Linked DNA regions of Coturnix japonica. The protein of the gene in region 2 interacts with the protein of the main gene of each other region in a pairwise test. Links are inferred from orthologs where the notes say so. Each region holds a gene or a part of one and is shown on either strand. Other genes may lie near its edges. The genes, in order: MOB3C and ZBTB10.

Region 1 (16,293 bases), on a different chromosome or scaffold from region 2:
TCAGACCAGCTCACATCATGGTTTTGTCACCATCCACTCTGGACTTGCCAGCCCCCCTGCCCTAACACAGCCTTAAGCCCCAGAGACTTAAACTGAGTCAAGTTTTCAGCAGGCACTAGCAGAGTTTTCTTCATCGTGCACAACTTTACGCAGAGCTGCCTGTTCCTGAGGTCTCAACACAACACTGAGCTCCATCAGTGTTACAGCTGTCAGAGAAGTCCACTCAGGTTACCCTGGGTGCATTTTCATGACATCTTGCTATGGATGAGGGAAGAACAAAGGACACCAGGCGCATTCCTGCTTCTTTAATTAGTAACAGAACAAAAACGTTTGGACTTTTAATGACTGCATTACACAGAAAGTATTGGAGTGCTGTATCAGATGGTTTGTGGCCATTTTGTCCCACTTTATTTCCATGTAAAAATATACATCTGGTACATAAGATTAAAAAATAGATTTTCACAATAAAATAAGTGCTTTGAGCACTAAAAATCCACTTGTGAACTTTAGTGTTGTCTTAAATATTTACATTTCCTACCCACGTCCCCCCTCCCCAAAATGGGCAACCCCCTTTTTATACACATCACCTGTGTCTGCTCTATAAAACCTTCCCAGAACAAGGCCAAGAAGCACAAACATAACAACGTGGCTCAGACAATTGAATTCCCCCACATTAGTAATAATTAAAGAAAAAAGTCAAACTCCTGTCAGAAGAACAGTGTGTGCGCTACAGTCGAATAATGGAAAGGTAATGATTGCTATAGCCAGCATCTGCTTTCTAGAGCCAGGACGACGTGAGAAAACATCATTTGTTTTCTAGTTTTCTGGCAAGTTTCTTTCCCTTATTTTGTATCAGTGTTTCTGAGTATGGAAAATACTCAAGTAGACTTGCTGGGCCCTCTGAAAAGTGGCCCATTTCACCTCCATTTGTCATGGAGCCATTTTGCTATTAGTCCAAGTGGTATTGGATGCATCTTAAAACATCCTCAAGTCCCTTCTGCCAAGCATGAAAAATTCCTTGGGTGGGGGGGTGGAAGTCACTTTGGTAAAGTATGAATGAGGACAGGAGGAGAAACATTCATAGCTTGTGGTGGTTAAAAATGGGACACTGGCAACTAACCTCATGGAGTCAGTTGGGATCAAATGTCACCAGCTTTGCAGAGCTGATCTCAGATGTTATCACAGTTCAATGCGTGTGAGAAAAGCAACAGGCATGACTCAGTAGCCAAGGTCACACCTGCTTACAGGGCAGGTCTCGCTAACAAAACATTTGGAGACTGATGCATCCGGAGACAAAAAAAAAAAGAAGAAAGGCTCTTCTGCAGTTTTCATAGTACAGTTGAAATGCCCAGAGCAAGTCCTTGGGAAGACATCTCCCACCGCAGGGTTCATTCTCTGAATGCTGAACGATCTTGCTGAGTATGCCTGCTGATATGGCTTCAGTGGCAAATTCGTTCTGTCATTTCTTTCTGCATTGAAGGGGAGGGGGAAAAAGAAAGAAGCAGTTAGTGCAAAACACAGGTTTTGGCGAAGTGATGTGCAAAGCAGTTTGGTAGGTACCCAAAAACAATCCAAGGAAGTGGCTGTATGGAAACTGAGAGCATTCTTGTTTCCCATGGTGGCCCTTTTTGCCCTCCAGGTGGTGACAGCAGCTCACTGAAGGGGCCTGTGGTTCTGGCAAGGGATTCCATGACTGTACTATAATGCAAATGAGCACTAATTTCAAAGGGCCACAAAAAACCTCCTGGCAACTCACATCTCTGGCTTTCAGTACTGTTAGCTTGAAGTCCTTCTCCAGGGGTCTCCTCCTGCTTTGTGATATCCCTAATACATAAGCATGCCTCTTCAGTTTGAGCAGCTCCTCCAGCAGCTACTCAGGCTCTAGCGTCCATAGCCAGAATTCCCTCCTCTCACTGTCATTTCCCAGATGCTTCGTCTACAAAACCTAGTCCTGAGCTATCAGTGCTGAACTCAGGGAGGGACAAAATGACAAGAGTAAGCTCTGTGTAGGCTAACAGGCTGCTTTTCTTTGCCACTCAGATTTTGGGACTGCTGGCAGTGCCAAGATGCAGCGTCTCTGCATCATTCTCACCACGCTGTTACCCCACTTCCTAATCTTCAGGACCATGTCCTTGCTCCCCAGCCCAGCACTGCACTCAGGACTCAGCCCTCTCTGGTTGCAGGTCACTCTCCTGCACACATACAGCAAGTCATTGCTGAATGGAAGGAGGTCTCATAGGCACTAGAGGCTGCTGGAGGGTGTGGATTCCAAGTAGTGGATACCAAGAAACGGGCACACCAGGAAACAAGACATACATAACCAGTGAGAAGTGTGCCTTGTTTCCTTGTAGTTTGATCTTAGTTGCATCACACAGGAAAATCTGTTCATCTTAGAATCATCCAGAACCATAAATCATCTCACATTGCATGTGTGTCACTGGCACTGAAAGCCTATTTAGCAGTGTCAGCCTTTGCTTTGGCTATTAGCTGCTAATTATTTACATAAGCAAGCATCAGTCAAAGGAGGTGACACCATTATGGGCCATATACCAATGTTAAAGAAGAATGGTTATGAAGAAGAATGGAGGACACAGCGATGCTGAACTGTCATTTCCTGTGGCTGAGGACCATTGTGATAACAAAGGTCAAAATCACACTATATGAAGTAATTAATTAATGAGTCTGCTATTGTCATTTAGGTGTCCCCTGGTTGGATCATCTTCCCAGCCTGCCAGATTGCAACCAGAGCAGAGGAGGCAACAAATTGACTGAGAAAAAGGAAAGCAGAAAAAGAGTTAAAGCATTTAGCACTCAGGGGCATCCCTGGTACTAATAAACATGCAGCTCAAGTTGTGATTTCTCTCAGCAATTTGTCTTTGAACTCTCCTGTGCTGCAGCCCATCCCTTTGCACAGCGTGCTAATTACTGGGTTCCCTATTATCCTCCACACCACAACAGGTTTGTATAAGCCAGACCACACTCAACACAGCCTGTGACACATTTGCTTTTCTTACAAAACTGCATATGTTCTAGTTTATGTGTCAGAACTGCACATCTCTTCCCCTTACCTCCCCCCTCTGTGCTGTGTCCAAGGTCTCTCACTTTCTGCTTGGCTAATTGTTTTAATTGCTTCCCAAAGGAGGCAGCAGTGCAACTCCTGCTAGACTCATATTAGCTGCTATCTGAAGCTGTATGTCTTGCGCAGGGTTGAATCTGACCCTGCCTGTATTTACTGGAGCTGAATTCAACCCACACTGCTCTGACCTTGTCCTCTTCACCATCTATAGGGCATCCTTACCAAAGGCTCCAGCTCTCGGTGGTCAACAAGGCTGAACTCCCTGATGAAGTAATAAAAGTGCTTGTAGCAGGTATTGACATGAGCCTCGGCCCCCATGTGGATGATGCGGTCAAAGTGATGGATGTAGACGTGGACAAAGACACGGAAGAGGCGGGTGAGGATCTTAGTGCAAACTTGCTGGAACTGCTTGGGGAAGGGAACACCTGCAAAGCAGAAGCAAGTTAAAGCCATTTGACTTAGATTAAAATGGCAGTCTTAAGGTTGTAATGCCATTGCACCTGTACAAAGCTCCCTACTGAAATATCCCACTAAGGTGTTCAGGAACAGGACCCACCGTGCACCAATGACTACTTTTAGCTTTGTCTTATGCAAGGACACAATTTATTACTCTCCATTTACATCCTTATCTAAATACATTGTTCTAACAGTCAAAATCTCAGAGGTGTCACAGCCAGTGTCAGGTAGTTAAGGGAAATGCCTACAGAAAACCCGGCTTTGAAACCCCTGAAATATACTTTTTGGAAGGTTGAACACGAACCAAGTGGAACCTTTCCTGAAGGTTCTTTCTCTCCCCTGAGCAATTCAAAGCAAATTTGCATGGAGCAAAATAAAATCCTCCCTTCCCACGGTGCTACCTGTCTCCTCCCTTGGCTTCTTACTAATGCAGCACTAATGCAGCCAGCTCACACACCTCTTAGCTAAAAAAATACAAATGGTCATTTGAGTCTTCCTCACTGAGCTTACTGTTAAAGTACTTGTAACAGAAGGTTATCTTTGGTCTGGAGCGATGTCACACTCAGCCTGGTCTCACCTTGCACAAGGCTGGGCTGCTTGTGCCATGGGTAGATGGCTTGGACTCAGCAGCACACACTCCTACATGGAGAGTGGGCTGAGATTCATGGCCACTGTCCTGCATCCTGCAGCAGTACAAAACCCAGTGGAATCTTTGACATCACCCATTAGGATTCTAATAGCTCCTCTTAGGGCTTTGTGCCAAATGCAAGCACCTCTCCATGTCACTGATGAAGGGATCTGCTTCTGCCCTGACCCCTTCTCTGTGGGGCTTGCTCCTTCTGCCTGGCTGATAAGGACAGCGAGCAATCAATCTGCTGGGCTTCCCTGCAGCCAGCAAAAACACCATGCTTTATCAAAGGCTTCATGTGAGCATTTTGCACCGAGTGAGAATTCGCTGAGCAACTAAAAGCCCTAATCACCCAGCAGGGGCCTGAAACATGCTATTAGGGTGGCTCCTGTAGACCAGATTTGAGGAACTAGCCATAAAAATATTTCTTTTAATAAAGAAAAACCCATCATGGCGAGTAATTTGCGATGAGAGCACATTCCCAGACCACAGCTGAGAAATACACACTGTTCTGAACAGCCTGTCCTGAGACCAAGGATGAGCAGCTGCTGCCAGGAGCTCAGCAAGGTGCCAGCAGGCAGGCAGCAGTGCACGTGTTCTCTCCAGTTTGTCAGTGTCCTCTGCCTGATACCTCCTCCCTTCAAAGCAGGCAGTGAGAAGCACTGATATTATATGGAGAAGCATAGCAACTACAGGAGCTACCGAGTCATCTTACTCCTAATGATAATTTGATATCAGGAAAGATATCATTGGGCTGCCAAGACCTAACAGTACCTTTCTGGGCTATCCACTGCTGTGGCTTCAAATGAACCCAGCAGTATCACACATCTCTTGGGATGTGTAGCTGTGCTGCTCTTCCCTGTGTCCATCACAAGGTGTCAGTGTGTGGCTGTCCTCTGCAAATGTGGCCCAGCTGTGTTGGTGACTGGTCACCAATGGAGTCCATGGGAGTCACCAGTGGACTCCAACAGGTCACCTCTTAACTACAGCATCACTACTGCTACAGACTTTTTCTGGACTGCATGTTCTGAGTCCCTTCTCCAACATCTCACTCTCTTCTCTTTTCCATCATCTGGGTTTTCCAAAGTAAATCTCTCCCTCACCCTATGCACACGCAGACCTCAGTCTAAAGCCCATCTAGGGAAGAGGCTGATGGGCCTCCTGTATGCACAGCAGAAATGGTACCAACAGGAGCCAAGCAGAGCAGCGATGCAAAGCACAGAGCATCACAAGTGCTGGAAGCCAGGGCAAGAGCTGTAAATACATCAGGTTCTATTTCATCAAGGCACTGGTGCGTAGCGTGACTCACTGCCCCAAAATGAATTAGCACCTTCAAGTTTATCTTGGATGTTTTCCTTGAAACCCAAGACCTGATTTAATGCTTAGAGAAGTCTGTTTTCCACACTCTGTGCTGATCACTTCAAAACATAAGGAAGTCACATGGGACTGCGTGGAAAAGGAAATGAAAAGCGTCTGCATTTACGGGAAGGGAATACGAGTGGGCCTTGGATCCTCCTCACCATCTCCCTCACCCCCAGCCCTCACACACAAGCCAATTGCATTTTTCTGTGATGAAAACAGCGCTGTGAAACTATTTTGCTTTTTTACAATTGTATTTTACCCTCTCCAAAAAGCAGTAATTCAACAAGCTGCTCGATGAGTTATTGCTGCTAAGATTATTTCTAACATCCAGTCCGGTCTCTGGATCATTCCAAGAACCATCCCAGAGCCTCCTACGAGTGACGTTCCTTCCAGCTACAGACAGGCTTGGCAAAGAGTACAGGGCGTTTCCAATGCTGGTTTTCATCCAAGCCCCACGTCTGTGCTCATTTAACAATGGAGAGCTTTTGCATACACGTCAGTGCTGGCATGGGACTCATGGCCCTGCAAACTCCATCCACCAGAGCTTCCTCCCCATGTATTACCAATGGACCTAACACTGTCTGCTGGGCATTCACTGAGACACTGAATGAAACTGAAAGTGACTTCTCCTGCCAGCAAGCAAAGGCACAGCAGACACTTCAGATAGTGTTATTGTACAGGTGGTAATCTGCTCATGAAAAGGTCTATGGACATAGTTTTACCAGCTGGTAAAAAATATGCCTGCAGAATCACTTATTCCTATCCCTCCACAGGAACAATGTTTACTCTGCATGTAGTGGGGCTTTTTTCCAGCCCAGCTATGTTGGTTGGGAGAGCGGAAATGAGCACTAGAACATGCTAATTGATACGGGGTCATCTGGAAGAGCTGGAGAAGATTTATGGCAGCTGCACACCAGCAAGGAGGCTGAAGTCACTTGGGGATGCACAAAGATGCTTGAAGAAGAGAACCTGGTAATGGCCTTGGAAAAGGAAATGTGTTTGTGCAACCAGAACAGCCCCCTTTAAGTGAAGGAAAGAGGTGATAGCTGCCTTCCACAAGAACCCACTGGCCAACACACCAGCTCCAACCCTTGAACATCACCCCAAAACTACAAGAAAGCGGCTCAGAAGGGGCAGTGTCAGTCACTACAGCTCCCAGCCAAAGCAGGTCATCAGCAGAGCTCTTAGGATTGAAAAGCTCAGCGATACCAACCCAGAGGTGCACCAACAGCTTGGAAACCTACAACAACAGTCTCCTGTAGAATCACAGCACACTCACCTATTCTGGTGGGGAAGATGTCCTCGTTGTTAATGAGCATCTCAATCCAGTCCATCAGCAGATTCATGTACTGCGGGGCTGACAGCTTGGTTGGCTTCTTGTACTTGCTATCATCCTGCCACCTGTACTCATACTTGAGCCCACCCGACATGATAGGGCAGCTCTTCTCCGTGCAGTACTCTGACATGGTGCCGTAGATGAGGTTGATGCGGTTGAAGAAGTCCACCACGTGCACAGCTATCCAGTCATTGATGCTCTCACCAGGAGGCAGCTGTACCACAGCCTTCAGGTCCAGCCCTGATTTAAGGGAGGCCTGAGCCTTCTTGTACAGCTCGAAGCGTTGAGTGCCAGGCTCAAACTTCTTCCGAGGACGGAAGGTTTTGTCTTTGTTGAAGACTTGCTTCAGACACAATGCCATCATGGATTGGGCCAGCCAGGGTGAGGGCACCAGGGTCAGTGCTGAGGATCTTCAGGGTTGGAGGTATCTGAAAGGAAAAGACAAATTTTGGTCATCTGTGCACCTGGTCTGAGATGAGATAGAAGTGGGATGCTGGGAGCCAGCTTCTTATCTCCAGGGCTTTTGTCCAGAACTACGATAATGAAGTATGGTATCAACAGCACTCACCTACCTGCGGCCCTTTCCTTCCTGGCAAAAGGACTGTGCCTCTTCCCCATAAAAATAGCCCCAGTACCAATGGGACAACACAGTGAATGCAGCTGGCTGCTGGTTCACACAGCTCCGGCACCCAGATCAATGGGAAAAGGGGAGATTCTTGTTGTTGTTCTGCCCGTGTGTTTGTTCAGAGGAACAAAACCCACAGCCAAAGAAGGGAAACAGCATCCAAGCACACCATGGCCAGGATGCAACACAATGCATGGGAGTTGATGCTGCCAGCTCTCCCCACGGCGCTCCAATCCCACAGCACCCCGGGAACAGGGGATGTGACCTGGAAGTCAGTGCTCAGCAGCACTGAGTTCATGTCTTCCTGAGGCTGCCCGGTGCGGATGAGGTCTGCAGCATTTCCCTTTTTTCCTTCCTGAAGCTCCAGTGGAAATCCCGTGTGCTTGGACAGGCTGAAATGTGCACGTGCCCTGTGTCCCTCTGCAGCATTAATAATGGGAGAGCAAGGCCACAGTGAGTTCAGTGCCCTGCTGAAGTCTGGGAAGGTAAAAGACCCCAAAGCAGCCTCCCCCAGGGAGGAGGAGTTGAAGAAAAAAGATGGTTCACAGAAAGGGGAAGTGACTTACCCGAAGTCACGAGTGGGAGGGAATGGTGTCCAAGTGAAGCTCGGATGTGCATTTGTCATTAAAAAGGCATCTCTTAGCCAAAAGCTTGCTGTACAAACACTACTTTGTGAACTCAGTCCCAAGCCAAAAGCAAATCCTATTTTATCCAGCAGAGTCACTTTGCTGGAAGAGCCCTGGGCTCCCCCCAGAGTCTCTCCAGGACTCAGGAGCTGTCATGTGGGGCTTTCCACATAGCAGCAGGGGAGAGCCCTGTCGGGTGCCACCAAAGGCCAGTGGGGCCAAGTCAGAGCCTTCCCCACATGTACAGTGATGTGTTGCCACCATCACAGAGCTTGGGAGAAACATCAAGTTATTCCTGCATTGGGTTGGACCGATGCTTTGGAACATCAATGAAACATCAATTAAAAAACAAAGAAACACAGAATAAGAACCCTGCTAAACACCTGCCAGATGTTTTCCTATTGTACATCTGTTAGCTGCTCCCAGGAATAAGGGAGCAGTACCAAGTGCTGCCCCAAATGCAGAGCAGAGCCGTCCCTGAGCTCACTGCAGAAAGGCACAGCTGGATGATGAGAGTGGTTTTGCTCTTGGGATCCTTGCCAACTTCGCTACTGAATTACTGAGCCATTTAAAGGCCTCGTGAATCCTTACTGGGATCAGGGAGGGGAAAAAAAAAAGCGTTCTCCAGCAATTCAATTTAACACAAAGCCAAGAACACATCCTGGGATTTACAACCAAAAGGAGCAGGCGGAGGCACCGTGCCAGGAAGCGGATCCTTTCCTAACCTCTCTTCAAAGCTGCCACTGCACAGGGTCTGATGAGCAGGAAAATCCACCATTGGAGCTGCAGGAGGCCAGGACTGGGGCTTCAATACGGGGTACAGCCCTGCAATAGGAGCACTGGGACAAGCTGAGGCAGCAGCTCTTGCCGCATGCCAGCACGCATCCCACCGCCGAGGGGCCTGGGTGAGTGCCCGCAGCTCCCACCTTCCGTTCCCATGTGCAAAATCAAAGCTCCCCCCCTGGCATGGCTGCAGCCCGCTTTGCTGTGCTGCCATTCCCATGGTGGTGGGGCGGTGCTGGCACCCACAGCCATGCACTAAGGGCTCAGGGAGCCAAGTCAGCACAGGGTTAAAGCGTGGGGCTTTAAAGCAGGCAGGGACAGGCGAAATCCTGATTTCCTAGAGGGCTGGCAGGTCTGGGGGAGAAAGGAAATGAACTGGATGGGAGGGAAGTGAGTTCACGGTCAAAGGCAGCTGCCAGTTCCAAATTTGAGGAGGATTCTATTTCTTTAGTTTTAGGGGTTGTTGTTATTTTTTTTAACCATTTGAAAGCCACACAACACTGCTAAAACAAAGGCTTTGTTTTAAGTTAAGAATAGCACCAAACCATGTCTTTAGAAACTGGGAAAACAAAAGGCAGGGGGGGAAAAAGCAAAGTAGGGAGGGGAGCTTCCTCTGCCCACCACCATCTGTCCCACCAGTCTGAGCAAAGACACCAGGGCAGACCTGCCTTTGTGACCCCAAACTGGCTTCAATCTGGAAAGCAGTGGGGAGGAGTGACTGGGGCAGTGCTGAGCTCTGAGCTATAGCAGAGACAGTGCCACACTCTCTGCCTCAATTTCCCCAGTTTCAAAAGTAATTTCTCCCTGCTGATGGGCCCCCCCTGATCTTAAGGGCTGCAAAAGCCAAGAATTGGCTTCAGGGGAGAGGAAATGCTTTGTGAGTGCTGCTAATGATAATGACCAGGGTAAGAAGAAAGGCTCTGACACAGCACCTCCAGCTGGCAGTGGGTCTGGTGCCCAAGCCAGCCTTGGATCCAGCCCGAGACACTTACACACTTGCACAAACATCTGCCCTGGAACTGCATGCTGAGAGCCATGCTGGGGAGCACAAGCAGGGGTTGGCCCAGCACCACATAGCAAAGCTGTGCTTCAAACCTGCCCACCCTGCAACATCCCCCCTGTGCATTTCCCCGGGTGTTCCCCCAGAGGCTGGACTCCCCCTTGGTGCTATGGGGAATTGCCTTCTCTGCTCTGCAGGCAGTCCCTCTTGCCACGTCCCTGCATGGCAAGCCTGGTGTCGGGGCAGTGAGCCAGAGCCCTGAGACAGACAGACGGCATCCAGCTGCCTGCTGACCAGGGGCTCTGCTGGCTTTTTTCATGGCACCATTAAGGTTAGAAAAGCCCTCTAAGATCATCTAATTCAATCATCATCCTGTCGCCACCATGCCCACTAAACTATGTCCTTAAAACTCAGTTTTCAACTTGTCCTGGAGCAGCTGTGCAAGTGAGGATTCTCAGTGGTGGCCTTGCAGAAATGCCCCCCAGCCCAACCCTGCCTCCCCTGAGCATCCCTCACAATGCAGGCAACACAACCCTGAGCTCCAGCCTGGGGCTGACAGCACGCAACAACCCAGTCTGGCTTTAGAGGTAGAGAGGTTGGTTTCAAGGGGTTTAAATGCAGGAGGAAGATGCTGGGGCATGGCTTTAGGGCTCTGGCCCCTCTTGCTCTCCTCACGCTTCCTGCTGGAGCCAAACCCCAGCTGGGCTGGCCATGAGAAACGGGGGTTCTTGGCAGCCGATCCCAAATATAACCCAAACGATAGAACATTCCAGGAAACAAGCCAAGATGAGATGCCAGGAGAGGGATGGAGGGCCAGCACGCCAGACAGCAGGACTGCAGAGTCCCACCAGCCCCAACACAGAGTTAATCTGTGTGTTTCAGATATACTTGTGAAGAGCTATAAGCATCCACTGGGAAAGCCCCCAGCATCCGTTTCTGGAGGGACCAGCTCCCAAAGGAGGATCAGTTCCTCATGCTGTTGCTTCTCCCATCTCTGCCAACACTCAGAAATCCCCACCCTCATACAAAGCAAACCCAGCACAGTTTCCAAGAAGAGGACACACAGCCCTCTCATCCAATCTCCCCCATGTCCCAAACCACAGCCAAAGTCTCATCTCTCCAGTGGTGGGGCACCCAGCACACTTTAGGGGTGATGCTGTTTGGGGTACCTTATTCTTGGTGCTGGAGTTTTGCTGCTGCCAACTTGATTGTAGCCATAGTAAGTCCTGAGGGTGATCGCTCCATCATCAGAGCCGCGATCCCAAGTGCCAGAACTCCAGGAAGACAATTGGAAGGACACGAGACAGCTGCTGGAAGTGCATCCCTACAGATATCCCTGCCCAAAACTTCCTGCCCTCCACTAGACAATGGCAAAGCCACCTCCAGGACTGCTGCCAGCCCCAGGATAGGTGGCCAGCCAAAACACTGAGCTCCCTGCTCACTTCCAGCTATCTGCACTAACCCACAGCTGCAAACCAGGATCCCTCGGCATTTACATGCTAGCAGCCAAGCCGGGACACTCACAAAAGGGGGAAGAACTCCTGCAAGCACCCATTTTTGCTTCTCTTGAGTTTTTCTTTGCCCAACCTGCACTAAAAGCACCCCAGGAGCATCCTTAGGGTTGCAGGGGACGCAGCACCAGCTGGGATGCCGACACTACTCCCTTTTCCAGCCCCAGAACTCACCTCATCCTCAGCACGCCTGGCTGCCAGCACACAACCCCGCCGCACTTTCTGCTCTTGCTGAGTGGAAGAAAAAAAACCAACACAAAAAAACCCATTCAAAATAAAAGCCCAGAATCCGGCAGGACGCCCTGCAGCATGAAGAGCAGCCGCACACTGACTGAGGTTTTGGTTGCAGAAAGTGAGGGCTGAGGGTTTTTCTTTTGCTAGTAATGTCATATCCTGACCCTGCCGGAGCTGCAGCTGTCCCAGGGACACGCCAGCAGGCTGCTGCCCTCCTGCAACAGGGCACAGGCTGATATGTGCACACCCACGGGCATGCACATCATCCTTCCCTGCTTGGCACACTGAAGGGTTGAGTGGCAGGATGGAGTGGATGCCTTCCAAAGGAAAGAAAAAAAAAGAAAGGAGAAATGAAAACAAAAAGCAAAAAAGAAAAATGAACCTCCCTCCCCCCCAACACTTATTTCAGTCCACAGAGAAAACTGGCTTTGGTTGGGCTATGAAGCACAACATTGGTGTGGGGCTGCAGCTCCCCTTCCCTGAAGCATGGGGTTCTCAACCACAGGTTCAGCTCTAGCCTTTAAAAAGCAAACCACCTGTAAACATCCCCAGTCACCAGCAGGATGTGGCTACAGGCAGCTCGGGGCTGCGTAGCAGTTGGGGACACAGTGAGGATGTATAGGGTTCACCAGTGGTTGCGATTCAGTCTAGCTAGGGGCATGGAACTGGCATCCAATGCAGCGCGAGTCTGTGCAGAAAAGGTGACATATGGAGGTGAAATGAGGTTATAACCTTAAGTTGCACCAGAGAAAGTTAAAGTTGTGATATACTGGCACAGGCTGCCCAGGAAGGTGTTGGGGGTGTCACTATGGGGATGTGGCACTGAAGGATGTGGTCAGTGGGCACTGCAGGGTGGACTGGGGTTGGACTGAGTTATCTTAGAGGTCTCTTCCATCCTCAGCCATTCCCCAAGGGCACAGTGGGCACCAGAGTCCACCCTTGTCCCCAGGTGACGGACAGCACAGAACCTACAGGGAACCCACAGCCATGATTTACGTCCGAGTGAATCAGAATCAGAGCCAAAAAAGCAGCCAAAGGAGAAGGACCAGCCCATCTTTTTGAAGGTGCATTTTTGTCTGCTGCAGAGGAAGGAAGAGGGCGGCCTGGCCCAATCACGCAGGCAGGTGCACTGCTGAATTTATCAGGGGGAAGGAAGCAGGGAAGGAAGTGGGCCCGGAGCGCTGGTGGCTCCAGGAGGCCCCATGGGCAGTCATGGGAAGAGGCCGGCACTGCAGCAGGGCCTCACGCCAGGACACAGCCACAAGGAGCAGGGCACTGTGCCTCTAAAGGCACCACGAGTGTGGCACAAGGCTGCTCTCATGCCTCCCTGGAGCCTTCCCTTCTTGAGGCTGCACAGCCCCCAGCATGCCCTCATAGGGGAGGGTGTTCCATCCTGCTCATCGTTTTTGTGGCCCTTCTCTGGACATATTCCAAGAGATCCATGTCTTTCCCACACTGAGGAAAGCTATTGCTGGATTTACTCTGGCCTTGCACCCTTGCCAATGCAGCTCACCTAGGATACAGGGTTAGGGGAACCTTCAGTATAACTCAGTACAGCCCATTGCATTCTCAATACTAGCCCATACAATAGAAGCCTGGGCATCTTGGCATTTTTCAGTACCAAACTCACTGATTTAACAAAGCTGAGAAGACAGGCTTTGTAAACTGTGTTCGGGTAGCTCAGAATGAGGAAACATCTTCCCTCTAGTGGTTGAAACTGGCTGTGCAGAACACAGCCACACTAAGTGATTCATTTTCACCATCTCTTAGGCTCAGCACGGATCATAAATGCATTTTCCAATAGCAGAGCTGTTTTCTTCATTGGAATCGGCTCATCAATTCCACCTCTTCTAGGGCCCGATAATGGGAACAGGTGCTATTTTTTAATCTCTTTAAATACCATTTGTAGAGTTGGCTGAGTAGATGCCAAAGCGAGAAAAATCACTCTAAAAAGCACGCAGTAATTCCTCTTCACTACTCAAAAATACACAGAAATCAAAGCACGTTATCCTGTTCCTCAAGCAAAACGTCTCTAAGAAACCCAACAAGATGAAATGAATGCATCAATTAAGAAGCAAAACACTCCCAGAACAAACCCAAAGCACTTTGTTCTTGCATGGGCCTCGGTACACATCTGCACAAGGAACCTCGCACACAGAGGAACAATGAGGAGTCTGTTTTAGACCACCAGACCTATTCTTTTCTCTTGATAGACGAGTCTGTATAAATTCCTCACAAATTAAAAGCACTAGACCATGCAATTATAATAGCAGAGGGCATTTGAAATGCATTTTACAGAGAAGAAACATTGTTTGCTCTCTCTCTTGATGTCTACACACTTCATTATGTAGCTGCCCTTCTGACATTGCAGATCTCAAGGAAAAAATACAGCATGCAGCATAAGTCAGAGATGAGGGAACAGCTCATCCTGACAAAGTTACGCTGAAGTGCTTCAGTCCAGCAATTAGTTACCACTGCCTGAATGACCCAAATCCTCGTCCTTCATCAGCACCAGACCCACTTGATGATCACAGTTCCAGCATGTTTCCAGATCCCTTTTGCAGCCAACTCAAATTCACAATACAAGAGATGGGAAGCATCCCAGGTGAGAAACCCTTCCTCCTGCTGTTGGCTCCTTCTTCGCAGGTCCAGGCTCTATGATTTGTCAGAAACCTGATTAGGTCTCAGCGCCTTTCCAAGGCCACTGTGCTCAAGCTCTGCTATAACTGACATGTATTTAAATTCACTGGATCTGTGGTTGAAGGTCTCCACTAATTCATAGGTCTCAGAACGCTCCGTTGCATAGAAGAGCTGCACCTGATTTGCCAAGCACTGTGCTTCGTGGACCACCTGCGAGTTAAAAGGAAGAACTTGTCAATGCTGAGTTCTGCTGTTTCCCACTGAAAAAGATCCACTTCCATAAATTTAATTCCATTAACAAGACCAGAAATACTTCTGAATTTTCTTAATGCTTCATAAAAATAAACTACAATAACCAGAGTAAGTAAAAACAACATATGAACTGTGAACAGCAGACAGCCAAAGTCTGCTGATTTCCTTCTAACTTACCCTAGATTACTAAATAGGTAGGTTAAGGAAATCTAGTACTATTTGGGAAAGGGTCTACTTGAGATTTGAACTTGATTTCAGTTCATAGTAACATAGAATTGTTTGAGTTGGAAGGGACCATTAAAGGCCACCTGGTCCAACTGCTGTGCAGTGAACAGAGACACCTACAGCTCAGAGCCCTGTCCAGCCTGACACTGCATCTCCAGGCAACTATAGGAGAAATGATGCAGTCTAACATGAGGGAAATCAATGAAAGTTTTTCCTCTTACCAAGAACTTGGAGTCCATTTCTGCAGTCATTAGTACTATTCCTTTCTCCTCCTGCAGCTCAGGATAATGGTACAAAACCAGCTGGCTAGGAGCAGCTTCCCCTTGGGTCTGAAGGGAGGAAAGAAACTGTTGGTATCCCATAAAGAACTTCAGCTTTACTGCACATTTAGAGGCTCGACTATAAAACATTTGAGTCTTAGCTGCTATGGAAACTGTCATTTTTCAGGGCTTAAGGGTCAGTTCTAATTATTTCTGGTTGCATTTCGTAGCATCTACTGGTATTCGGAACAGTTTGTACAGACAACTCTAAAATGCTTGGCTCTTGTTTCTGTTCTGAGACTGCTCAATTTCTACCTGATTCTCTCTTTGAAGAAAGAGACCCTTATTACCATAAATTTACTGAATGCCCACAATTAAGAGCAGTTTTTCACTGATAACTGTTTTCAAGTTAAGCTGGACAATGTGTTCATCAGTTTATTCAGTAGAAATGATGTATATTTCTAGACCCAAAGCCATCTTTAGACTTGTCATGGTCACCACTCACCTGAATGTTTATTAGAGAAGTAAAGTGCAGCTCTGTTCCTGACCACTGCCCCACAAAGAACTCATAGCCTTCTTTTCTTGGCAAAGCATATAGAAACTGCAGAGAAGTGATAAAAAAAAATAAATAAGAGGCCACTTCATAGAACAAACTAAAGCCCAATGTCAAACTGGCCTCCAACATCAACTCTTCAGAGAGAACTACAGCAGATTAAAAAAGGGGGAAGGCTTTCTACTCTATCATTTCAGTTGTAAATCACCAACACTGAGACATACTGTTATCAGTATTAAATGAGACTAAGGAAAAGACCATAGGGAACATTCACAATGACCTGTCAACTTGCTTCTAAAAAATTAACAGTAGTAGAAATGGTCACAAACAAGATGAGTTTCCAGTTCTGTACAGTTACCTTATTACCTGTTCCAGAACAAGAAGCACTTTCTCTTTGAGGCTTACAGTCTGGCTCCATAGTGTAGGAACTTGCTCATTTTCCCACACCAAGAGGAAGGACAGTGTAGGAGCAGGAAACAAGCAGGATACTTGACTAACTGCCAATGGACTGCACAGAAACACACTCAGAACTCTAACTTCCTAAGCTCCATGTAACTCAGGAATCCAGACATATTTGATCTTGGCAAACAGAACACACAGGACCAAGCCATCAATTTGATAAAGTTTCTCATTCAGATCTACAAGCCTAGCTACCCCTTTGTTTCTATAAAGCAGTGAAGGATTTAATTTCTACCTTAGCAAGTGCAATCTGCACAAAGGCCACGC
Region 2 (16,293 bases):
TTGAAAGAGAAACAAAACCAAAACCAACAAGCCACAAACCAAAATAACAATAAAGCAACACAAAGTGATTAACTATCAGCATTAAAACTCTCAAGATGTCAGTCTGAGAAGAGATTAGGACAGTTCCAAATACAATTAAGTGGTTGCGTAGGTTTTTACACAACAGAAAAACTTCCGAAAGCCTTTTACACTCTAAAACTGCTCCTTCTCAGATGAAAGGATAAATGAGATTCAGACACTGAATTGCAGTCTTAAAGGCAAGAGGTGAGGGAGTATCATCAGAAAGAAAACACGTGAGCAGAAACATCCTTAATTTGACAGCTTTGCTTTTTCTGCACCCAAAAATCGGCTGAACTTCTGGGAAGGAAAAGAGACATCAGGTGGGAGAAGATTAAATAGATCAATGAGAAGATCAATGATAGAAGCCTTTGAACAGGTCATTACAGAAACGGATATGGAGGTAAAGTGCATAGAAGGACGCAAAACTTCACAGGAGATCCAGCTGACTATAATAAATAACTTCTGTTTTCTTTATACCTACAGCCACTAAAAGCAGTGCCAAAAGAGGAGGAAAAGGAAACATGGTTTTTCCCTGCAACTCTTCTGACATGTTGCTTATTCAGACCAATTCAAAAAAGACAGAAAGTAGATCAGATAAGCGATTAGGCCACAGCTTTCAAGGATTGTAAGGAGAGCACTGGTAATCTACTGATACAATCTGGCTTGCTATTAGAGCTGGATTTGTTGCTTATGTTAAGTAACATGTGACAGAAAAAAACAGCACTGCCAAGAGCTACATACTGGCAAGGTGAAGAGAAGAAAATACATTATACTGTTCATTCCCAGAGTATTACTCACTTCTTTAACCTTGCTTCTGAAAAGAGGTCAGAGCAGATTACTTCTGAACTGCCTCTTGCAACAGAATCCTCCGACAAACTTGTGATATTTTGCCAATTCAAATACCAATCCCAATTGCTCAGAATTTTTCCCTATTTTGCATTCATGAATATTGGTTTACAGCTCTACCTACAGAAGCAGAACCACTAAATAACTCTGCCAGATAACCTCCAATTGCTATTCACTATCACTGCTTATAAGGCTAGCTTGCCGATCTCTCCATAAAGGCGACAACAGTGAAACGTGAGCTAGTAAGGACTGTCCCGATCCACATCATTTATTTGTGGAGGAGCTACTGATCTCAGGGAACAAGGAAGAACTTAGATCACAAGGAATCTCTGAAGGTCACCTAGATCAACCCAGCTCAAAGCAAGGCTAACTTCAAAGCTGGATTATATCTCGCTTTGAGCCTTGCCAAGTGTTAAATGTCTACAAGGATGGAGTACACAATCTGCTCCAGCAAAACTGCTTTCACAGTCCGGTCTGTGGACAGGCAGAATTTCCCTTGCTGCGACAGATGTTTTTCAGAGGTGTGCAGCAGAAGGGCAAGTATCTGGATTCATATTCTATAAATCCACTTAAGATGCTGACAGACTGCAGGTATACACCCCTCCAGCTTCCCTATGCTAAATAAATTCAGTATCACAGACTCTCCTCAACATTTCTCCAGTTCCCTATTTCCTTAAGTACCCACCCACTGGACACTCGCCTGCTTAATGATACCTTTCCCATCCTAGGCTGCCCTGCACAGGGCACAGCATTTAAATGTGGTCTTGCAAGCCCTGAATTCAGGGAAATTACCTCTTCCCCCAGCACACTGGCTACGTTCTTGCTAATTCTGACAGTCTAAGGTTAGCCTTCACTACTGCTATGACGCATGGCTGACTCGCATTCAACTTGCTGCTCCCAAAGGGCCCTTGGTTCTTTTCCTCAGTTACTACACAGCTGTACTGATGCAGAGTCGTAGAAGAAAAGGCATCCAGTAAAAAAGGAAACTTTATGCCAACTTCAGCCCTAGTACAAGGGTTCTCCACAAAGTAAAGCTGCTCTTTCTGCACTGGTATCGAGAGTTGCTATTGCTACCATTTCATCTGCTACATGTTGTTCTTAGGCCCTTCAAGGAATAATTAAATTAAATCAAGAAAATCATCACAAAAATAATAATCATACATGTCTCTGTTGGTATTTATTCTTACATAAAGACACAAGCACAGATACCACTGCTGTGTAGATTGTTTAGGTCAGAACAATGTTATATCCTAAGTTGTTTTAAGAAAATATTCAATAATACTTCAATTTAGCTTCTCTAGCAGCAGGCAGTCTTAGAAGCAGCAGCATCCTTGACCAAAATGGGTACCTCAGGATCATCCATTCTAGTCAGACACTGCCAAACCCTGACCAGGAATACTGAAGCATTTTGTCCTTTCGTAGAGCTTTGAAGAAAAGGAAGGTACAAGACTAAGATACAGATCTGTAAAAACACGGATTTGTGCAAAACAAACAAGAAGCACACACGAAAATCTTCCCAAACAAATCACATAACCTTGCCATACTATGAGTAGAATACTACTGTATAAAGTTTCCATAATGCAAACACATTTCTGGCTGTGTATATTTACTGATGCCTGCCAGAAATCGGCACAAGGAAGAAATGTGCCCATCTCAATTTCTTCAACCCCATGAAATTACTCTGAGACCTGTACAATACGACTTCAGAATCCTCACAGTGCACAGAGGATGAATGGTTGTACAGCAAGAACTCAACAGGAGAAACTGAAAATACAGTGAAAGGAAACATTCCCTAGTCAAACTTAACAACAATTGAAATCTACAGCCCATTATACCATACCTACAAATGCTGAGGTTGACCAAACCTTTCCCTCAAACAAAACAGAAATAAAAGCAAAAGAACAACCAGTCAAACCCTGAGGCCTGTCAACCCCAAGAAACTGAAGAGGAATTGACTCACTTATACTTCTATAAACCCTTACGAGACAAAGTCACTTTAGTGTAAAACCTCTCATAGGGAGTTACAGTAGTTTAATTGAATTGAACAGGTCTGACAATGCAGAAAATCTGGAAGTTAAGCAAGAATCTTATGGCTGTTTTTGTGTCAGTGAAGACAGTTATTATTAGAAATCCTTTACCAGACTTTTGGCTTCATACATGTAATCTATTAAGGAATCTGTATTCTAAACATGCTCCTTTAAAGTCAGCAGCAATCCAAGAGGATCTTAGACTTTTGTATCAAAATCACTTTCACTGCTCGACATGTTATAAAATTAATCAGATTTGACTTCCTGAGATATGTTTTTTGAGGCACAGGAGGGAATACATCTGAAAGAATTGCACAGCTAACTTCTGCAGCCAGAGCTGCATATCCCAAATGAATCTGGAAGAAATGCAGCCTCTGCTTTTCTTTATGGAGTTGCTGCCACAATCCTTATCATTTCTTAAATAGTCGAGGTAATGGAAAGATTAAGTCAGCAATTCAGATTGATGATTTCTTATAATTCAAATATTGCCTGTGATTTGATTGCATCCCTTAAAGTCATAAGGACAACTGTCCTTATGTCCATTCCACCAGAACATGGGAATCCACCTGTATTCCAGACCGTCCCTAAGAGAGGCAAATTTACTGGATTGGCCAGATTCCTGATCGTTGGACTCTCTCTGGATGTCTTTCAAAATCCATGGGGCCTTTATTTCCTTATTAGATAGGAAATGGAGCAAATAGAGAGGTTAAACATTCATTAAGCAATTTTAATTGTCCAATCAGGGTATATTACCACAAAAGAAGATTGGAGAAAAATATTCCTGATGCTGTATTAGTTTTCTTCATATGCCACAGTTCAGGCAAGCACATCAGTCTTGATTTCTTCAAGTACAAAGTTAATTAATTCTATAGTAAAACTTGTTTATCAAGTTATGACTTGAAGGAGCAACATATGACAAAAACTGTGACTAGCACATTTTTATAAGCAGCTTTAGACACTACTTGTAACGTTATGAAAAGTAGTTGTTTTCCAGCCAACTGAATTCAAATCCTTCTCTAGGAACTCCTACAAAGTTACCCAGAAAAACCTTTTTCCACAAAAGGCTGTTTTCATCTTGTTTTGTTACCCCCTCCTCGGATGCCATCAAACTAATATATAACCTAACATTATGTAGCCTGAAAATCATGCAAAGAATTGATCTGGTGTTAGCTACACAACACCAACCAAATACCCCATTAATATGTTCTAAAGATTCAACACTGTCAGCTCTGGAAATCGTAAGGAGTAATTGACAGTTTTGTTCTGAAGTCTACAAACAGAATATGTATTCCAAATCACAAACTCAAATGAAAAAACTAGTCAGAAGTGGTGTGAATTCACAGAATCTACAGACAGACACTAAAAATATTAATTAGAATCACTGAGATTTCATCAACTGGAAACTGACTAAAAGATACAAACTGAATGCACTGTTATTTCCAACTCGGTAAATGGTTAATTGCAGGATGCACCCTGGTTGTTAAAAACAACAGCAAAGGCGTTTTTAACAGATTATTAACTAGAAAGAAAAATAGCAAAGTAGATTGTACAATTCAGTGAGAAGGAACTCAGCTACTTTATTTCCCATAGTTAAACCTGGGGAACATTTGAAAGCATCAGTAAAAGTAGATAAATGAAGCAAAAATGTCATATTGATTTCTAAACTCATCTTTATGAAGCTTTTTTGAAGCCCAAAGTGCTACTGCTTACAGGAAAGGTGTCAAATATAAACCCACTGGTAATGCAGAGGAAGGAGAACTGATGTACCCTCATAGCTATCTGCAAGAAAACTCACATTCACATTTGCTTCACCAGGATACGAGGAAACAGCATCACTGAGAAAACTTCTAGTACAATTTATCTAACACTTACCTAGTAGTACTCAATCAAAAACTCCATTTAGAATCTTATTTAATTCAATGGCTTTCAGCTATTTTTTTTTTTTTTTCCTTCTCCCTCTCCACGCACTGGATTCCATTTTAAGCTTTCATGAGAGCAGCAGTCCTTAAACTGGTTTCCCTTCCACCATGCCACCACCTATGGTACTTTTTCTCACCCCACAGAAAAGCCAAACAACCTAAAACCATCATCAAGGACACAGCAACCCACTTTGCATGTAATCAGACATCTAATAACCACAGCTGGTGTTAGTTATCCCCATCAGCACACCGCAAAGTGTAACAGTAGAAGCTCACTCTCTCTCTTTCAGCAACCAAAGAGACAGCAAGCGTATTACTTAGCTTGCATCACAGGAATCTACTATTCATTCTTTTTCTTCTAAACTCACTGTCTTATATGTGTTCCAAAAAACATTTTCTCATGAATTTTTAACAGCCTATTCATTTTTCTATCTTCACAAAAAACTTAATCCACAACTGAAAAGTTATCATGTAACCTGCAAGTTATTCTACAACCCATTCTTGTCATTCTTCCAATTCCCCACTCTTTCTTCTCTCTCTCTCCTGTCTCTCGCACCTTTTCTTGGATCTGAAGGAAAGAATTACAGAGTGTTTTATAGAACAAATGCACATGTCATCCATGGAATCTACTTTTACTTAACCTGCACACAGTAAAGGAGAAAACACCAGCTACTGAAGCATAACTAAGACTAAAGTAAGTGATATCATACTCTACCTCCACCATCTCTCACAGAAGAATTTTGTAGAGGGTTTTAGTACAAAGATATTAAACATAGCTTCCAAAGTGGTTCTAGTACTGACAGGAACATGTAATTATTTACCTAAGACCTCTCATGTTGCAGTCAAAGTACCAAGGAGATCATTAGTTGACAATACTTACAGAATAAATTCATTCTCTACGATCATAAAGCTTTCCATGATTTTGGACTGACACCACAGCATAAATTCAATGCATTTAATGCAGTTCTTTTCATCAAGATGTAGAATGAAATATATTTTACAAGTTAACTCTGCAGTACAACAAACGACTGGAAACCTCAGCTTCAGCATCTGGATGAGGGGCTGTGAGATATGGTTTAGGGGCTTGTGATAGCAATGGTAATGGGAGGATGGTTGGACTATATGATCTTGTAGGTCCTTTCCAACCTTATGTTTCTATGATTCTATTTCTGTCCAAACAACTGAACAAGTTTAATACTTGTTCAATCATCGCTGAACTGCCCCACCACCCATTACGCTTCCATGAGACAGCTCTAGTACACCTATATCAAGTCTGCAGAATGCAAACAAGCATTTATTTCTGTTGCTGAACAAGCCATTTGTTAGCTGGATACTTACTCCCTGTAATATTTCAAACAGTAAAAAAAGCTTAACTGCCTAACCCAAATAAATCAGAAGTAGAAAACGCACTAAATTGCGTCAGAAACTTGATATTTGTGCAATTTCTCACAACTCAGATCCCCATTCCTGCTCCAGACTTTTTCCTGCTGCCCTTCTTAAAGCTGCTGCAGCTAAATGCATGCTAGCAAGTAGTGCTACACAGCATGAGTAGATAGATCTGTTAATATGGGTACTGAAGGCCCTACCATACACATTCAGAGCTGTTTTACATCAGGCTAGATCTAACCCTGTGGATCCAAAGCCTGACAGTGGTTGGCACATAACAAGCACATTTCTGTAACACAGCTTCCATTTTCCTTTCACACAGAAGAAACTCTCTGCAGGCCAAGAATACTTCACAACATTAATCAAGGTACACTAAGAGAAGATCAAGAAATCCACTTTACAAGAGTACACTCTCAGGCTAACCTGAAAAGCTAGCATGGACATGCCTACTGACCCAGAGACAAGTAACCCCACTCAAGCATTTATGGAGTGAGTGTCAGTTCCTTAGCACAGCCGATTCTGATTTCCCACATCTGCTCCTGTTGTGTCACACTGCTCGCTAACAGCACATCCATCTCCTGTGTTGTCTGCTCCTGCTCTCACCAAATATAGGTGCCCGTAGCTTCAGTCTGCAGTACTCTACTGTCACATGTTGTTGCGGTGCTCACGTATATGCCATACACAAATGCACAGCAGTACAATGCAGTGCAGAGATATCACGTGCCCGCTGCTGGACTGCTATTCACGTATTGCCTCCTCACACCTCAGCAGCTGCCAGCAACAGAGATAGACTTCTAACACTGTGGGCAAAGGCATTCCAGGGCCCCAGTACAATTGGCTTGGTCACAGCACTCCTGAAAGGATTTCTTTCAGTCTTTGCTTTTCAAGGAGACTGGGGGTACAAGAACGAACTAAGGTCACCTCTACTTCCACCAGAATAGACAGGTTTCCGAGGCATTCCTGAAATCTCAAGCCGCTTTCAAATCTCCTTTTTTTCATCACTGGAATGCAAAAATTTCCACAGAAATACTCTGCACCCAAGGTCTGAGTGCTGGTGTTTTTTGTTAGTTGGTTGAGTTTGTTTGGGGGTTTTTGTTTGTTTGTTTTACCTAATTTACACATGGGTTATTCCCTTCTCCCCCCCCCCTCCAAGTTCTGCCATCTAAACCTGAGAAGTAAAGGTCATTCACAGGCGTCTGAGATATCTGAAAAAGACATGCATTTTAAAATGCTTCAGAAACATGAAACTAAAAATATCCAGAACTCATACTTCCAAGATTGCTAATCCACCTAGAACTGATACAGCAGTATTTCAAATCCATATTTCAGCTACTCATGCAACATAATGGTAATTAAAAACTATATTACCCCAAGTTCCAAATACACCAGGAACAGTCTGCTTAGAATTCTACGCGACAGTATTTACCTAGAACACATTTAATCTTATTCTAGCACTTTCAATAAGCAGTAACCCTTGAGGAAAAATACAACAGATAAACAACCCCATGAAAAGTCACATTCCAAGATTGTTTAAAGGACAGTTGAGCAAACTGTCATTTCTCTCTACTACATGTTGTTGTGGTATCTCTTTCCCATCTGCTTCACAAATCTATCTGTTTTAAGACTTCATAGGCAGTATTACTCCATTTTGCAGTTTCCCAGATATCCAGACAACGGTAGTGGAATGCTGATTTCTGCTTCTTGTTGAGATTCAAGGAGATGATCACAAAAATCTTTTGTTAGTGAAAAGAAGAAAATTCATAAGGCCATCTCCATGCAATCAGCAAGCAGCATCAGCTATCACTTCTTGATTTTGTGCCTAACTTTAGCTAGAGATTGAAACGTAGATACGAAGATTTTAGCTTCTACTAGTTGATAAGGACCTGCAATCAAACATCAGTTATAAAGAACATGTTGTGTACCACATGAGATTGGTTGGACAGTTCTTTTCTCTAACTGAAGACGCACTGCTGCAGCACAAGGAGAACCAAGTTGCTGAATAATGCTAAACAAGTGCTGATTTTACTAGAACACCCTACCCACCATACCTGTAAAGAAATTACATTGCCATGTACGTGATTCGGAAATTTTTAAGTTATATGATTGATATTAAGCAATATTTACCTGCTTCTTCTTTAATGAATGACAGATCTTCTTCTGGATATGGGACTGACGGCTGCAACACTGAGCAATCTTCTGAGTTCTCTTCAGTGTTCGGCGGTATATTATAAATAAATCTTTTTGCAGTTTGGTTTTTCCTTCTCGCTTTTCCAGGTTCTTGAACTGATTGTCCCTGTGAGCCCACGTCATTCCACACAAAAACTTTCCCCTCACCTTGAGACTCGTTTTCAGCCATTTCAGGTGAGCTGTCCTGGACCCAGCTGCAGTCATTCATTTGGTAGCTTTCAATTTGGGCCTCGTCAATAGAGTAACCGTCGTTCTCAGTTTTTATGCTGCTTGCCAAGTTGGTAAGATTTCGCGTTGCCCAGAAGCTGGCAACTTTCTGATCCCTTGGAGACATACCATCCCTACTAACAGACCTCCTGTTATAATCCACTACAACAGTCTCTGGAGCTTCTGATTTTATACTTATGTTTAAGGCATCTTTAATGAAATTGCGGCAAGACTGGACAACCTCCGTCATCTGAAGGTAGCTGGCCACTGACATCACTTCAATGGCATTTTGGCTCGTAAGCACGAGGTTACCAGAATACAAGAAGTCCAAAATGACAGAAAAACCTTGAACAGCAACAACATCTAAATAGGTAACAGTGGTTTGGTTACGGCTTTCTTTGTTTGTAAAGCAATACAGAGTCTTAAAGAAGCGGCTGCCTGCAACCAGGATGTTCTTGTGAGCTCTGAAGACCCTCCCACTCACCACAATATTGACATCGCAGAGAATGCCTTTCTTCCTCTGCTCATTTAGTTCTTGCAGGAGCTGATAGCAGTAAGAGTTCTCATTTGGCCTGCTGTTAAAATCACAGTATCCTTCATTGTTCAGTTCTGACGGTAACTCCGACTCCTGGAATTAGAAAGAAAAACAATCAGCTTTTCACAAACGCTCTCTTTAGTCCTGCAACACTATTAAAAGGATACCAAACTGAAGATAGTGCTACTCCATTTTTTCTTAATTAGAATCTTGGTTATAAACGCAGGCTGAAACACATGTTTGAAAAAACATTTCCATCAGCTAAGAATCACGTTCTCAGACTGCATCTTCCTCCCATATTTGGAACAAAACTAAAAGAAAATTGCCATAAGGACAAAGGAAGTAAAATTTGGGCCAAAAGTGAAATAAGATTTAGATGAGAATGAAGTACTTGACTTTGTACATTAAAGATTTGCAGTCTGAGATTTATCTAGATGGTTCTCACATTCCCAGTTCATTCAGTCAATAAAGAACCTTGATCCAGACTCAGCATTTGCTCATGCTGAGAGATGAATACATAAAGATGATCAATTTATCTTCCCAACCTGTCCCCATTGTACAGGCTTAAGATTAAATACTGGTAATACAAGTGAACAGAATGCTGCAGGTGACCAAACAAAAGTCAGGCTTCCATTATGTTACTTAGCCAAGACTTACTTGAATCAAACTACACTGGAACTTCCCAGCAACACCACCTTTAGTTGGTTAAAATACCGACAACATGCACTTATATGCCTCTCCACAAGCCTTTCAAGAAATGATCTTAAACAGCTTCAGACATTTCCCAGCAGTAGAATCAGACAATCAAACACCAAGAGATGAATTCCTAAATAATTAGTTCAGGCAGAAGCTGAAGTAACGAGAGGCTTGAAGTACATTTTACACTGCTTTGTTTAGACAGTGATGATCCAAATCTGTTACAAGAGAAGCAGCCAGAAGAGAGCAGAAAACAACAAAAAGAGATCGTACCTATATTAAGTGATAGATGCCATCGAGTGCATTACAGGTCAGATTCAGTTAGTGGGTTTTCATGAGCTCATAATATAAACCGGGGCTAGAATGCATCCTGAAAACGAGTACTACCCTTAAGTTGGAATTACGGCAGAATTGACTATATAAAGAAGCCACTTTTCATCATACAGGAATCAGTGCCTTAAATCAGCACTTGCTTCAAGTTATAATCCCAGTGTGGATCACTAGAATGGCAGCTGAGGTCACAGAATCATGAGGTCAAGCTACATACTTCAGAAGAGATGTTTTCTATCTCTGAGCAGCAAGCAATGTCCAACACGATCAAAAGAGAAACTTCCCAGTATCCCCTGCAGAGAAAATTCAGTTTGCTGCCATGTTCAACTCACTTCTAAACCTCTACACTTTTTTGGGGAAAAAACAAACAAACAAAACCAACCTTCAGTGGAAAGAAGCAGCACGACTAGCAATTAGGCTTTTATGTGAAGATGAGGCACATCTTTGTCCAGCCCCAGCTTACTTCTTTCTATGTGCTCTCTGACAAAGGCGAGCGCTCCCTCTGATCAGAGCTGTGAAACAGGAAGCACACCCTAGATGTGACAGCTCAGTCTGCCTCTGAGTTCTGAGCATTTCAGAGCCAGACAAACTTTCTCTTACTCCACGGAGCAGTTTCAAAACTCTGACTACGCTGACTTCGGGTCAGAATAAAAACAGAAGCGATGGCATTGAAGTGTCGTCACTCTAGTCACAGCCAAACATCAGTGACTTCTGTCTTTCACACTGTCAGGCACGTGCCACAATAGCTGATGCGTCTTCATTTCCTGAGACAATATTCAAGATCGTTCTGCAGCCGGCCTTTCCTCTTTATGTTTGACTACACAGAAGCAATAGAGTATGTTTGAAGTAAGGATGTGTATGCAACCAATCCAGCTGAGAAATAAGTGAGATGTACAGTGCATCTTTCCTTAAGGAAAAAAGGGCAGCGCAATGAGGACTTGCAGAGTCACAAGCTATAGAAGCGAGGCTGAAGTCTTTGTTATGAAAACAACAGAATGCCAAGTGAAAATAAGGGACATAATGCAACAACCATTCAAAGTACCAGGGTACTTTACTAGGAGAGTGGTTAGGTCCTGGAACAGGCTGCCCAGGGAGGTTGTGGATGCCCCGTCCTTGGAGGTGTTCAAGACCAGGTTGGACGGGGCCCTGGGCAACCTGATCTAGTAAATGTGTATGTTTGGTGGCCCTGCCAGGCAGGGGGGTTGGAACTACATGATCTTTGAGGTCCCTTCCAACCTGTGTCATTCTGTGATACTCTGATTCTGTGGTGCAGGCTGGTAGAAAGGGATAAGTATGTGCAGTTAACAGAGAGCACACAGATTTTCTTTCCAGCTACCTGCAGAACTGAACATGAGCGACTAACTGCTGTTGGAAACCAACTCTAACACTGCACCAAGAGCTAAAGGAAAGCCCTGCCATCAGAACAGTGAACAAGTCTGTGTAAACCAAGTGTGACACAGTTAGCATCCACTATGGGAAAAAATGAAAAAAATGCCATAGCCCTTGGAGACTTTTAAACATCTCCCCTCTCCATAGAGAAAGTAGAATGCGATTCAATGGGAGGTAAAGTTAAGAAAATAATTACAGGAAAAAAATAAAGAGGATTTATTTTTAATGTTCTATTACCCACGTAATGCTCATAGCAATCACCGTAAGGGAACTGTTTTTCTGATGAGAACCACAAACTGCTATTTCCTTAGATGCCAATTGTAATTTCAGAATACAAACATAAATATTCCCCTGGCTTAGGTTACCTCACCAGCAAACAGCTTTATCCTTGACAATGATAAGACACACAGAATAGAATGGAAGACTTTCATTCTTGTTTGTGGAATTTCCAGAATCAGCCTGAAAAGCTTCGCTCTGTAGGTGAGATTAAGCAGCAGTGCAACAGATCATGAACTGAGCTCAGATTCAGCCAACTGGTCTCCAAATGCACCCAAAGACAAAATGACTCCTCTGTATGTACAGCTCAGTAATTACAGCCACCTGAAAGCTAATAAGGATGATCAGAAGCACTACTAGAAACTTGCTCTCTGTGCCACCACCATGCTCTCCTAGCAGTGAAAGCAGGAGGGAGGTGAAGGAAAGCCCTCTGAGCACAGATTCCACCCCAAATGTTTGCATATTTAAAGCAGTAAAGCAACATTTTTGCAATCCCTTCCCTATTGCCACACCTTGCTCCACAGCAACTTCTCAATGCCCCCAAATTAATTCTCCTGCTGAAAAAACAGGCTGTTTTTACACACGTGCGGCTGCCGAAGGAGATGCTCTCAGCAAACAGCCCCATCAGCTGTACATGCAGGATGCTCCGCTGCTGCTTCACAAGCCTCAGTCAGCATCCCTCAGGAAACACAGCACTGCGGCATAGCTGCACTAAGTGCCTAATGCACAACCCAGCAGCTCTGGGCCTGGAAAGAACACGGCATAAATCCACTGTAAGCGAAGGTGCTTACTCTGAAGGCCTGACCGCCTCCTCAACCAGAGTAATTCAAGAAGTAAGTTAACTTAGAACGCCACAATGCAACTTTACATTTGAAGCACGACCTCTATTCATCAGTGCACGCACAAAGCAAACAATTACAGTTCAAATGGAAAAAGTAACACATCAAGGGCCTTCCTCCTTTCCGAGAGCTTCTGCTTTAAACCAACGCACCCGCTAGGCTGGAGAAAGCTTTCCTGGCACTGATGCCAAAGCTCGCTTCGAATTATGTCCACATAAAAAAAAAGTGTTTTAAGAAGCAGCTTTGAGGACAGGAACCACAAACAGATGATAAATCTGCAACTCATGGATCTAAATTCATCACAGAACTAAAACATTTGGCAGTGACTTCCCAGCAAGTCTCAATTCTTTTCAATTAAAAGAGAAATATCTCTGCAACAAGTCTTATTTAACAAAAAACCCAAGGTAGCTTCAGACTGGATTATATCTCTCCTCAAGCTTTAACGTGGCAACACAGACCAGCTGAAAAACTAAAACAGAAAGAATTGAGCTTTTTGTCTTAGAAAGTAGCACCAACCGACAGCTCCATATCTTCAACTGCAGCAGCTGTAACCACTCATGCATTTCGGCATTCCGAATTAAAAGTACCCCAAAAATAAACTGAAATCATCACTTGCTTCTTCACGAGCGTAACATCCAACAGACCCACAGAAATTTCCACTGCTTTACTGTCTTAACACCTACCATTTCCCTTCTGCACTTGAAGGGTGGCACTCCGCCATATGTTTATTAGCAGCTGCTAAACATGCCCTGCAGTTGAAGCTTGTCAAGTCAGGAATACATATGCATTGTCTCTAAAACAAAGAGCGAAAGGCCTCTCCCAAATTTCATTAAATTTAAAAGGCTTTGCTGCCTCATTATGTATGTTGGAAATACAGTCGGGGTACAAATTACCTACTTTTGTTCCAAGTATCTGGTATCAAGGCATTAAGATCAAAATAGGGCTATTGTTTCGGCATTAGTTAAACATATGGATCTAGAGAAGGAAGAGTGCTATTACAAACACGAAAGGGGAAAATAATGACACAATAAGCGCAAAGAAAACACAGATTCTTAACCGTATTTACAGTAGAGCAAGTGCAACCCACAAGTGCACCACAGAAAACCTACAGTGACCCTTAACAACTGAACTCTTCTCCTTGTAAGAAGTTTCTAACTCAAGCACAGCTGAGCAGGGATGCACCCAGCACTGTTTCTATTCACAACCAGCACTGCTACGGCTACCTTACAGAACCTTACTTGGTCCAAACCTCATCATTACTTGCACTAACATTTAGGCTGCTCCCTTCTCGCCAATATCAATTAGTCTTATGACAAGGTATGGAGAGGAGGACAGAAGGACGGAGTATTGAGTTTAGTAAGAAAAAACTGCTCGGAGTATGTTTTATTTACACATAGCTACAGGCAGCAAAAGAAACTTTCACATGTGACACGAAGTAACAATATCTGGTGGGAGGGAGGCTGCACAGTGACAGGACATACCTCTGCGGGGTAATCAGCCATAACAGGATGGCGGGGAACATACCATGCTAACGCGAAACAAAAAAGAACGTTTACAAAATAAAGAGAAGGAAAATTGCAAATGAGAGATTCGAAATAGAAACTGGAGGTATTTAAGGCAAGTCAGGCCAAAATACTGCAGAGTAAATAGCAAACCTCAGATTGCAGGAAACCGATAGTGACCTACCGCCATGAAGCATGCATAGCAGCGGGCTCACAAAGGCACTCACCCAACAGGGAGCATTACTCATCTCAAAGGTGATCGCTGCCTTTATCAATCCCAAACGGTGTCCTGAATGGCTGGTATTGCTTCACAAATCATAAGGTTCTCTTGCAATCCTGCAGGAGTTCCACGCACAACTCGTGTTCCTTTACAACTAGCCCTAATATCACACTCACCTACGGTGCCTGCCATCCTAATGCCCTACCCAGAGATTAGGGCAGCAGCTTTTGTCCGAGGTACCCTGAGCTCCTTAAGGTGCTCAAGCAACATGCCCAGTGCAAGCACTGAGCTACGAGCTGGACTATGGATACGCCTGCACAACCACAGTAGGGGCTTTAAGGAGAGCTCAGTTCTAAGCTGGGAGAGCACAGCTCCAGGATGAACCTAACCCACAGCCGGTCAGTCCATGCGAGCAGGCTTCAGCAGTGCAGGCAACCTTAGGAAGAAAGGCTGGTGATTCAACGAGACCATCCCTTAGGACACATGTAGATGAAAAGCTCCGAGTTCACCCTGACTTACTCAGAGAGCAGCCAAGAACTGCAATAACTCTAAGTTCAGCAGGGAACAACAAAGAGTTTGGCCAATCCAAAAGCGTTAGAGGAGATGCCGGCGTATTAACGCAGCTTTCAGGAAACCACATGTTTATCTCAAACAAACACCGAGCGATTACACGTTTCTGGCTAAGTAACTCGATCTAAAGCGACCCGTTTGTTTAAGGCTGAAACTCCCTGGCCTGCAGCAATAAGGCGGCGTACGGAGACCCGGGCAACAGGACGGCGAAACGACGCCGATTTAAAGGCGGTGAGCGCCGGTTTCGCAGGCCGGACACTACCCTCCCTCCGCCAGTACCGCAGGAGGAAGTTGTAACTCGCGTTTGTAAATCAGTGCAAGAACATTGCCGGCAATACGCAACTGCCGCCCGCACCGCAGCTTTTCCTCCGCCAGATAAAGGCAGCCGGGGATGCGGGACCCTCGCGCTGAGTTCGACGCACGGAGCCGTGCGAGGAAGCTCTCGCACGTGGGCAAAGAGAAGGGGGGAGACAAAGCATGACCTCATTGCAGCCTTTAAATACCTGAAGGGAACTTACACCCTGGAGGGGAGTAAACTCTTGGAAAGGGCTGACAATAGCAGGACTAGGGGAAATGGTTTTAAGTTAAAAGAGGGAAGATTTAGGTTGGATGTTAGGGGGAAGTTCTTTACTAGGAGAGTGGTTAGGCCCTGGAACAGGCTGCCCAGGGAGGTTGTGGATGCCCCGTCCTTGGAGGTGTTCAAGGCCAGGTTGGATGGGGCCCTGGGCAACCTGATCTAGTAAATGTGTATGTTTGGTGGCCCTGCCAGGCAGGGGGGTTGGAACTACATGATCCTTGAGGTCCCTTCCAACCCGGGTCATTCTGTGATTCTGTGAAAGCAAAAGCCGACAGAAACAAACTAAAACAAAGAGCCTGCTATATATAAGGGGAGGGAGGGCGACCCGCCGCCTACCTGCTCGGCGCTGCCCGGCTCGTTGAGGCGATGCTCGGCGGAGAGGTGGTGCCGCAGCAGCAGGGCCCGCTTGTAGTTGCGGGTGCCCTTGCAGAGCTCGTCGTGGCCGCCGGGCACGGGGCCGCCCGCCAGGATCAGCTCGGGAGGGGCAGCGGCGGCGGCCGCGGCGGTGCACCACGCGCAGGACATGAGGCCGGTCTCCTGGCAGTAGTAGAGCCACGGGAACTCCTTCAGCCAGGAGCCCTGGAAGGAGACGTGCAGCTTCTGCAGCAGCGACTTGGGCCTGGCCAGCGGGAAGTGCCGGACGCTCTCCCCCTCCCCCGCGCCCACGCTGCTGCCCTCCGCCTCGTCCCCGCCGTCGCCCCCGGACCGCCTGCCGCTGCTGCAGCTG

What was found.
Region 1: the proteins of ZBTB10 (region 2) and MOB3C interact in binary tests that used the Homo sapiens proteins (3 or more experiments, as listed by UniProt). The link is inferred for Coturnix japonica from reciprocal best matches to the Homo sapiens genes ZBTB10 and MOB3C.

What each region holds. Positions count from the first base shown.
Region 1 is NC_029523.1:19,377,015-19,393,307, forward strand, and holds MOB3C (MOB kinase activator 3C), read right to left. Parts: upstream 11,956-16,293; 5' UTR 11,578-11,955; intron 11,572-11,577; exon of another isoform or gene 11,062-11,571; intron 11,045-11,061; exon of another isoform or gene 7,427-11,044; intron 7,287-7,426; 5' UTR 7,223-7,286; coding exon 6,802-7,222; intron 3,502-6,801; coding exon 3,299-3,501; intron 1,470-3,298; coding exon 1,440-1,469; 3' UTR 293-1,439; downstream 1-292. Other genes in the region: ATPAF1 (ATP synthase mitochondrial F1 complex assembly factor 1), read right to left, coding at 14,293-14,487, 14,976-15,083, 15,520-15,615. UniProt on the Homo sapiens protein: May regulate the activity of kinases.
Region 2 is NC_029517.1:109,619,027-109,635,319, reverse strand, and holds part of ZBTB10 (zinc finger and BTB domain-containing protein 10), read right to left. Parts: coding exon 15,903-16,293; intron 9,261-15,902; coding exon 8,363-9,260; intron 1-8,362. UniProt on the Homo sapiens protein: May be involved in transcriptional regulation.